2 linked regions of the Ovis aries genome follow. The protein of the gene in region 2 interacts with the protein of the main gene of each other region in a biochemical or structural test. Links are inferred from orthologs where the notes say so. Each region holds a gene or a part of one and is shown on either strand. Other genes may lie near its edges.

Region 1 (3,816 bases), about 38 Mb from region 2:
ACTTGTGCTACAAGTTATCAGGAAAAAAATTAATGGATTCCCTGGTCAATTGGATTTGGAAAGCACTTGGGCTGAATGAAGTCACATATGCTCCTTTACTGCAGAACTTCTCTGAGTCTTTATAATGATTTCACTCCATGCATTAGGGACCATAGGGCCCATTTCAGCATTTCTGTCATTGGGTTAGGGTAGCAACAGGAGTAGAATTTGAGGATATCTTCAAGGAGACTATTTATTTTTCAAATAAGCTGGGCTTCCCAGGTGGCACTAGTTGTAAAGAACCCGCCTGCCAATGCAGAAGACACTGAAGAGAAGCAGGTTCGATCCCTGGGTCAGAAAGATTCCCCTGGAGGAGGAAATGGCAACCCACTCCAGTATTCTTGCCTGGAAAATCCCAGGAACAGAGGGGCCTGGTAGGCTACAGTACATGGGGTCTCAAAGGGTTGGACACAACTGAAGCGACTTAGCACCGCACAAATAAGCTGTTTATTGAACAACAGTAGTTTAGTTTTGAGTGTTCACCAGCGGACCTAGATGTCTCTTCACAAAGTAGTCCAGAACTCAGATGTGAGCAATAGTGTGTACCTGCTGTACCCCAAAGGCATGACTCACACTAGATTAAGCTTCCTGAAGGAAGGGTGACATCCACCTCCTAACCTGTGACAATGACAGACCCTACCCAAAGCCGACCTTGGAGCTTGCACACAATCGGGGTTTAGAAAAATCTACTGAAATGAATCTGGGCAGCAGGCCCTAGGCCAGGCTTGAAACGAAACCAGATCCAAAATCTCACCCCTTGAAGCTTTCAAAAGCAAATAAACCTTCCCTATTTGTTAGCCCTGGATATCAGCTGACACAGCCGGGAAGGAAAGACAGAGGGTCACCATGGCAACCTGGCAGGGCTTCCCCATGCCCTCCCTCCAGCACAGAGGATCAAGGTGGGGGCAGCTCGGCTCTTCCTTACCTCTTTCTTCTTCTTGGCTTCCTCTAGGGAACTGAGCAGTAATTTGCGCTCTTCATTGGTTTGTTCTATTTGGGTCTTTATCTGTTTCACCTCCTTGAGGGCATTTTTAATTTCTTTATTCACGTACTTACTCCCCTCAGTGGACATTTCTGCAGGAAAAGGGCAGGCAGGTGGATGATGTGAGAGGAAGGGATGGTGCTGGGAATACAACCCTGGAACCAGTTTAAAGGGTCTGAAAGGCCAGGGGGTCTAGGGGCTGCCATGGCTGGGGTCTCCTTGGCAGGCAGCCTTCAGGGTCCCAACTTCACCCTGACCCGGGTTCCATGCCCGGTTCCATCTCCAGGGCACACCGAAGACCCAGGGCCTGAGAATCAATTACAGCCAGCTGCTCAGAAATGCGAACACTGGAGCAGACACACCCCAGAGGAGGAATAACCCAGTGTTCTCCTGGGACGCTGGAAGAGCAGCCTAACCAGCTGCAGAAGAAAATTTTCAAGGAAAAAAAAAATCCTGGAAGCGTAATTGTTTAAGCATCAAAATATAAAATAGTATCCTTTTGGATACAATTTCTTCTGGAATGCAGTTTAAGCAAACATCTGAATTTCATCTGTGTTCTGACGGATGGTATCAGGTGACAGGGACACGGAGGTGAGACGGTGATCAGACACCACATCGTGTGACAAATACAATGAGATAATGTCACCAAGGTACTGAAAGTAACAGCCCATGCTTCTCTGGTGCTTATCCTGGGCCAAGCACCACACTGGACGCTTCACATGCAATTTATTTAAGACTCTCAACATTGCCTTCACCCCACTGCACAAATGAGGATGAAGAATCATAGTGAGGTCAAGATACTCACCCAGGGTTATAACAGCTGGGGAGGGCAGAGACAGATTCCCACCCACCTCTGATCTCAGCATTAGGGTTTCTAACTACTACCCCGGAGAGCTGGTCAGCTCACAGGACGAGAGTGAAGCAGAGGGAAGACAGGTGTCAGGAAGGACCTAGCAGAAGAGGGGAAGCAAAAGCTGGGCTTTGAAGGATGACAAGCCCTCCTAGTAAATGATATTTCCTCTTTCCTGAATCCAGAGCATTGGTTTTCTAGGTGGCAAGGTGGCAGATACAGGTAGTGAGCTTTATGGAAACTCAAAGGGAAGTCCACAGAGGCCCCAGTGGTCCAGGCTTCAGGGAGCGTCATGGGGGAAGTGTGGGCGCTGGGCCAAGCAGCCTGGGAAGGGAACAGCTGAAGGAGACGCAGCAGTCAGAAAGGGCTTGGGTTCCACCTGAAAGTGCCTGGAAGACAACTTGACCACCAGGAGCCTGGGCTGGCGACAGAGGGCTCAGAGAGGGGCCTGAGCAGAGCAAACCAGATCCGATGAACAGGGCGGAAATGGTCTCTGACCCCTGGGGGCCTGGTCACTTACCCTGGAGCTCTTTGTCCGAGATTGCCCGGCCACTCTCCCAGCTGAGCAGCAGCCCCACCAAGAGCAGTAGAGTCTTCATCTTGCCTCCTTCTCCACTTCTGGAATCCCAGCACGCCTCTGTTTGTAGAGAACAGGGAACTGTCATGGCAACAGCTAGACAGCCCGCTGGTCTCCGGCCCAGCCTGCCGCCTGCTCTCCTGGAGCCCTGCTGAGGCCTGGCCCTCCGCTATGCCCTTACTTGCATTAACACCTTTTTATCCCAGGGACTGGACAGGAAAGGATCAGTCTTGCCAATGGGCACTTTCAAAAGAAAGTGGGAGGCAGCGGGTACCGGGAAGAACCGCAGGAAAGCAGCCTCATACAGACGAAACGAGGATCTGGAGTCAGAACCACCGGACTCAGGTCCAAGCTACCCTCCGCCTGTTCCTCCCCCTCCTCCTCCTCTTCTCATCATAGCTGACTGTGCCCGAAAAAGGCACAGGAACCATCTGCATCCAGAGAGGACATCCATCTGATGATACCTGCTCACACCAAATTCAACTCTGAACACACCTCTCCTGGGTCACTCATCCGGCCTATTCCATCCCCCTAACGTGGGGACTGCAGCCCAGAGTGCAGCCAGCTCCCTGCTGTTGACATCACCAAGCCTGCCCGCAGCAGGCATCACCAGTCGATCACAGCACTGTCCCCAGCCATGTCTCGACACCTCCTGAAAGTGCTTTTCGAGGGTCTGAGGCTGTTTTGAGGGCCTGAGGCACTGACAGCCTCAGACCCTCTGGGTTGGCACAGGAAAATAAATCCATTTGTCATCACCAGCGTGAGACTTGAGGCAGGAGGTGTGGATGAGAGTGGAGCAAGGCGAGGACAGTGGTCTCCAGGGAGCATAGCAAGGGAGGGGCAAAGCCAAAGGATTGGGGAGGGGGATGTGGCGTCGGCAGGGGCGAGGGCAAGGAGCCTCCCCAAAAGAAGTCCTGCTGGGAGGAGAGCCTCTCTGCTCTGCCAGGTCCCTTTCACTCAGCTGGTCTCTCTTAACACACCACAGCGCGTCTGCCAAGGTCCTTCCACCACACTCGGCTGGCTGCCTGAACCCTGGACCAGCTGGTCTTACACAATGGATCCTTTCCCCAAAGCTGAAGTTGTTGCAAAACAGAAACCCCTCCCCCCGCATCCCTCCCGCTGCACCCCTCCCCGCAACTTATCATCTGAACTCACCCGCTTCCCCTAACAAGAACGGGAAGGGGCTCTCCCCTTCCTGGAATGACGCTCACTCCAAAGCTGCTCTCAGCTCCGTAGGCTGAGACCCTGGGAGAACATGAATAAGGCAAGTCTCTTCTGAGATGCAATTAGTAACGCAGCTGGGCTGTGGTCCCTGAGCAGCGTGGGAGAGGAGAGCGGGTCATTGACCTCTCCAGAGATGGTGGGTGG
Region 2 (3,816 bases):
GATAGTAACTTTTCTCTGGGTTTTAACATTCAGTGTCTTGTGAAAGCATTTTCCTTCAGTCTTTGTCTTTTGATCATCTTCTCAAAAAACAAATTATTTCTTGTGCCAGCTTCTTCTCAGTCCATTTCACAATATTTTCTTTATAAACTTCTGTCAGCTCTAATTTTTGCATATAACTCCCCAATCACTTCTGAAATTACACATATTCCCATCATCCTAATGATTGAAGATATGAGATGATTTTGTTTATTATGGCTGTTATCTGCATGTTGGGAATCTTAAACTTTCCTTGCTTATTTTCTTATGATTTTGGTCTCATGATGCTGAGCACCTAAGAATTTTATTTTCTCACTTGAAATAAAGCAGGGATGTTTTGTGTCAAAATTAGGAAGATATCTCAAAGTTAATGACAAATGGAAAAACTTATTAAGCGGGTGGGAAGGGAAAAGTAATTCACGTTTTATTGAGTGACTACTATGTGCCAGACACCAAGACAGGTATTATTTCCAAGCAAGAGGTGTATTATTTCACAATACTCCCCACTGTTCTTTTCTTTTTCCTGTTTCATTTAGTAGGATTACTTGTGGATTATATTAATATTTGGATATAATTTATATAGGCCATTGTTTAATAAGGAGATGAAGTTCTCCCATTACCAGAAGAAACATTTCTTGCTGCCATACGGTCCACTTGAAAGGAAAGTTGGAGGCTTGTGTAATTGCGCTGAGGCATTGGGTGCCAGTTGAGGACCTTAATCCTTCTGGAGTCTAATATTTTTTTTCTTTTTCCATCTTCATTTTAGGGAGAAGATTGAGCGCATGGATCTAGAGCGCTATCTGCGGGAGGTCATTGTCAGCAGAGCCAACAGTCCTTTTGGCTTGGCTCTTTATGGCCAGTATATTTACTGGACTGACATGCTCACTCAGAAAATTTATCGAGCTAACAAAGTTGATGGGTCAGATCAGACTGCAGTGACCATGACCCTTCCCTTTCGGCCTAAGGGTATTTGTGCTGTTGTGAAGGGCCAACAACAATGTCAAAGTCCTTGTGATCGGTTTAATGGGGGCTGTAGCCATATTTGTGCACCAGGTAAATACTTTGGCCACCTCTTGCAAAGAGTTGACTCATTGGAAAAGACCCTGATGCTGGGAGGGATTGGGGGCAGGAGGAGAAGGAGACGACAGAGGATGAAATGGCTGGATGGCATCACTGACTGGATGCACATGAGTTTGGGTGAACTCTGGGAGTTGGTGATGGACAGGGAGGCCTGGCATGCTGCAATTCGTGGGGTTGCAAAGAGTCAGACACGACTGAGCAACTGAACTGAACTGAACCGAACCGAAGGCACTGGGCACAAAGATAGAATCATGGAGAGTGATAATAATGATGACCACTAGTAAGGAAGGCTGAGGGAATATTCAGCTCCAGCACGAACAAAGATTCTCTTTGTTTTCAGAGGAATTTCTAAAATAGATTTCAGGGTTTGTATGTTGAGAAGAAGACTGAAGGTTTTTTTTTTTCTTTCCTATTCCATATGGAGCCTTCTTACAATGACATTTTTAAATTAAGCTTGATGGAGGTAGAAAGAAATATGCAGGTTTGGCTGCTGCATATCATGTCTTGAATAGAAATTTCATCAATGAACTAATGTTCCTCATTAAAGGATTTAATACTTTCACTTAGGAGGTACTATTTATGGTTGAATAAACAGAGTGTGCTTCAGAAGTGTGTTTTATAGAGAACAATAAATTCATAAGAGGATGTGCCTTTTGAGACTATTGCTGTGCAGATTTTGCTGAGAATCACTGTTAATGTTTCAGTGAAGATAAGAAATAGTGGTTTAAAGATTAGGGTGAATTAGCCACATTCATTAGAAATTGGTGGTTGTTCACATTGATGAAAACATAACATAGAGCAGAGTTTCCATGTTTTAGAGTGTGTTTAGTAATATAGAAGCTGTTGCCAGTGCTCTTCAGGGGGAGAAAATATCAGTGTTTGCTACAGAAATATTTTGCTTTTTTCTGGGCTTACCTTTCTTCAGGTCCAAATGGCCCTGAGTGCCAGTGTCCGCATGAGGGCCGCTGGTACCTGGCCAACAACAATAAGTACTGCATCCAGGATAACGGTACCCGGTGTGACAGTTCCAAGTTCACCTGCCTCAGTGGGAAGTGCATCCCTGACCAGCTGCAATGTAATGACATCGATGACTGCGGTGACAGCAGTGATGAGCTGGAAACTCTCTGCGGTGAGCTGGACTCTTGGAACTTTTGAAGTTCATGGTGTACCTTGTGGTTGTTCCTTTTACAAGCGAAGAACATGTACCCTGAGAATCTAGACTGCACTTTGCTTAAATCACGCAACAGCTGATATATGCGCTGTGAAGTAGTGTTCGATGCTTTATTAGGAAGCACCTCTGAAGTGCACCTAAGAAGGGGCAGAGATGCTGCATGCACGTCTGGGAAGCTCTGGGAAAATTACTTCACTTCTCTGAGCTTCAGTCCCATGAAAGCATTGTGTTTGCATGCTTTCATGAAGCTGAGATAAACTTATACATTGAGATGGTGGAGGAATGGAGTGACTTTGCCATTTGCATCAAATCCTCCATTTGCTTAAAAAAAAAGTATACAACATATTTGCTTAATTTAACTAATTTAAAGTTTGAGCTCACTTTGCATGCAGTACATGTGGCAGCTTTTGCCTCGGAAGGTCAACCCAAAGTGTCTTATTTTACTTGATTGTATCTTTTTAGAAAATGGGATGATGCTTTCATCTGCGAGCTTCTTCAATGTTGTTTTAAATATTTTGTTCCCCTCCTCTTAGCGTTTCACAGCTGCCCTTCGACAAGCTTCACCTGTGCCAATGGGCGATGTGTCCCATACAGTGATCGCTGTGATCACTACAATGACTGTGGCGACAACAGTGATGAGGCTGGCTGCCGTTTCAGGGCTTGTAACAAAACAGAATTTACTTGCAGTAACGGAAGGTGCATCCTTTCTGAATTAGTCTGCGACGGGATAGACAACTGCCACGATGGCAATGCTTCAGATGAGAAAAATTGCTGTAAGTTCATCTTACGTTCTTAATGGGCTTTGGAGCCTTGAACTCTCAGAGCCTGGGAGATGTAAAGACGATGCCTTTCTGATAAAAAAACTGACAGTATTTGTCTAAAACGTGCATTTCATTTTACATGCCTACTAGTGATTTTTAAAAATAATTCGACCTAATATTTGATTTATTCATACAATCTTTGACTACTTTCCCCTTCTATATTTTATCTTTGGTTTGTGTTTCTGATTATTGTGAAGCTTTACCAATGATTACTGACAAAATTAATTGATTAATGTGTGTGGTTAATGTTTGTTATGCACAAAGCTGTGTAGCACAGTGTTGACTGAAATGATTTGGTAAATTGCTTTTTAGTGAGTTGCTTTTCCCAGATTTCCGGAACTTACAGTTTAGCATCTTGAGAAAACAGTAGCACAGAGTATGAGCAAAAATGCATTTTCATTTCGGGTACATCGACATGCTCTTCTGTCTTTGTATGTGGTTATACACAATATTTATTTGGGTGTGGCAGTATTATTGCCTGGATAATCCTATAGACAGAGGAGCCTGGTGGGCTACAGTCCATGGGGTCACAAAGATCCAGACATGACTGGATGACATCCAGAGCATGCACCCATGCTTTTTTGTTGTTCTTTTTTTTAACAAGTGGTCAATATGTTTCATCCATGTCCTCCAACTTTTCCCCTGAGTATTTTAAAGCAACTTCCAGAAACACATGTCAATGATAAAGACATTTGTTTTCAAATTTAA

What was found.
Region 1: the proteins of LRP2 (region 2) and clusterin form a complex in vitro, tested with the Homo sapiens proteins (3 studies listed by BioGRID). The link is inferred for Ovis aries from reciprocal best matches to the Homo sapiens genes LRP2 and CLU.

What each region holds. Positions count from the first base shown.
Region 1 is NC_056055.1:102,027,519-102,031,334, forward strand, and holds part of clusterin, read right to left. Parts: 5' UTR 3,604-3,816; intron 2,509-3,603; 5' UTR 2,471-2,508; coding exon 2,392-2,470; intron 1,114-2,391; coding exon 965-1,113; intron 1-964.
Region 2 is NC_056055.1:140,214,609-140,218,424, forward strand, and holds part of LRP2 (low-density lipoprotein receptor-related protein 2), read left to right. Parts: intron 1-802; coding exon 803-1,089; intron 1,090-2,041; coding exon 2,042-2,245; intron 2,246-2,820; coding exon 2,821-3,060; intron 3,061-3,816. UniProt on the Homo sapiens protein: Multiligand endocytic receptor. Acts together with CUBN to mediate endocytosis of high-density lipoproteins. Mediates receptor-mediated uptake of polybasic drugs such as aprotinin, aminoglycosides and polymyxin B.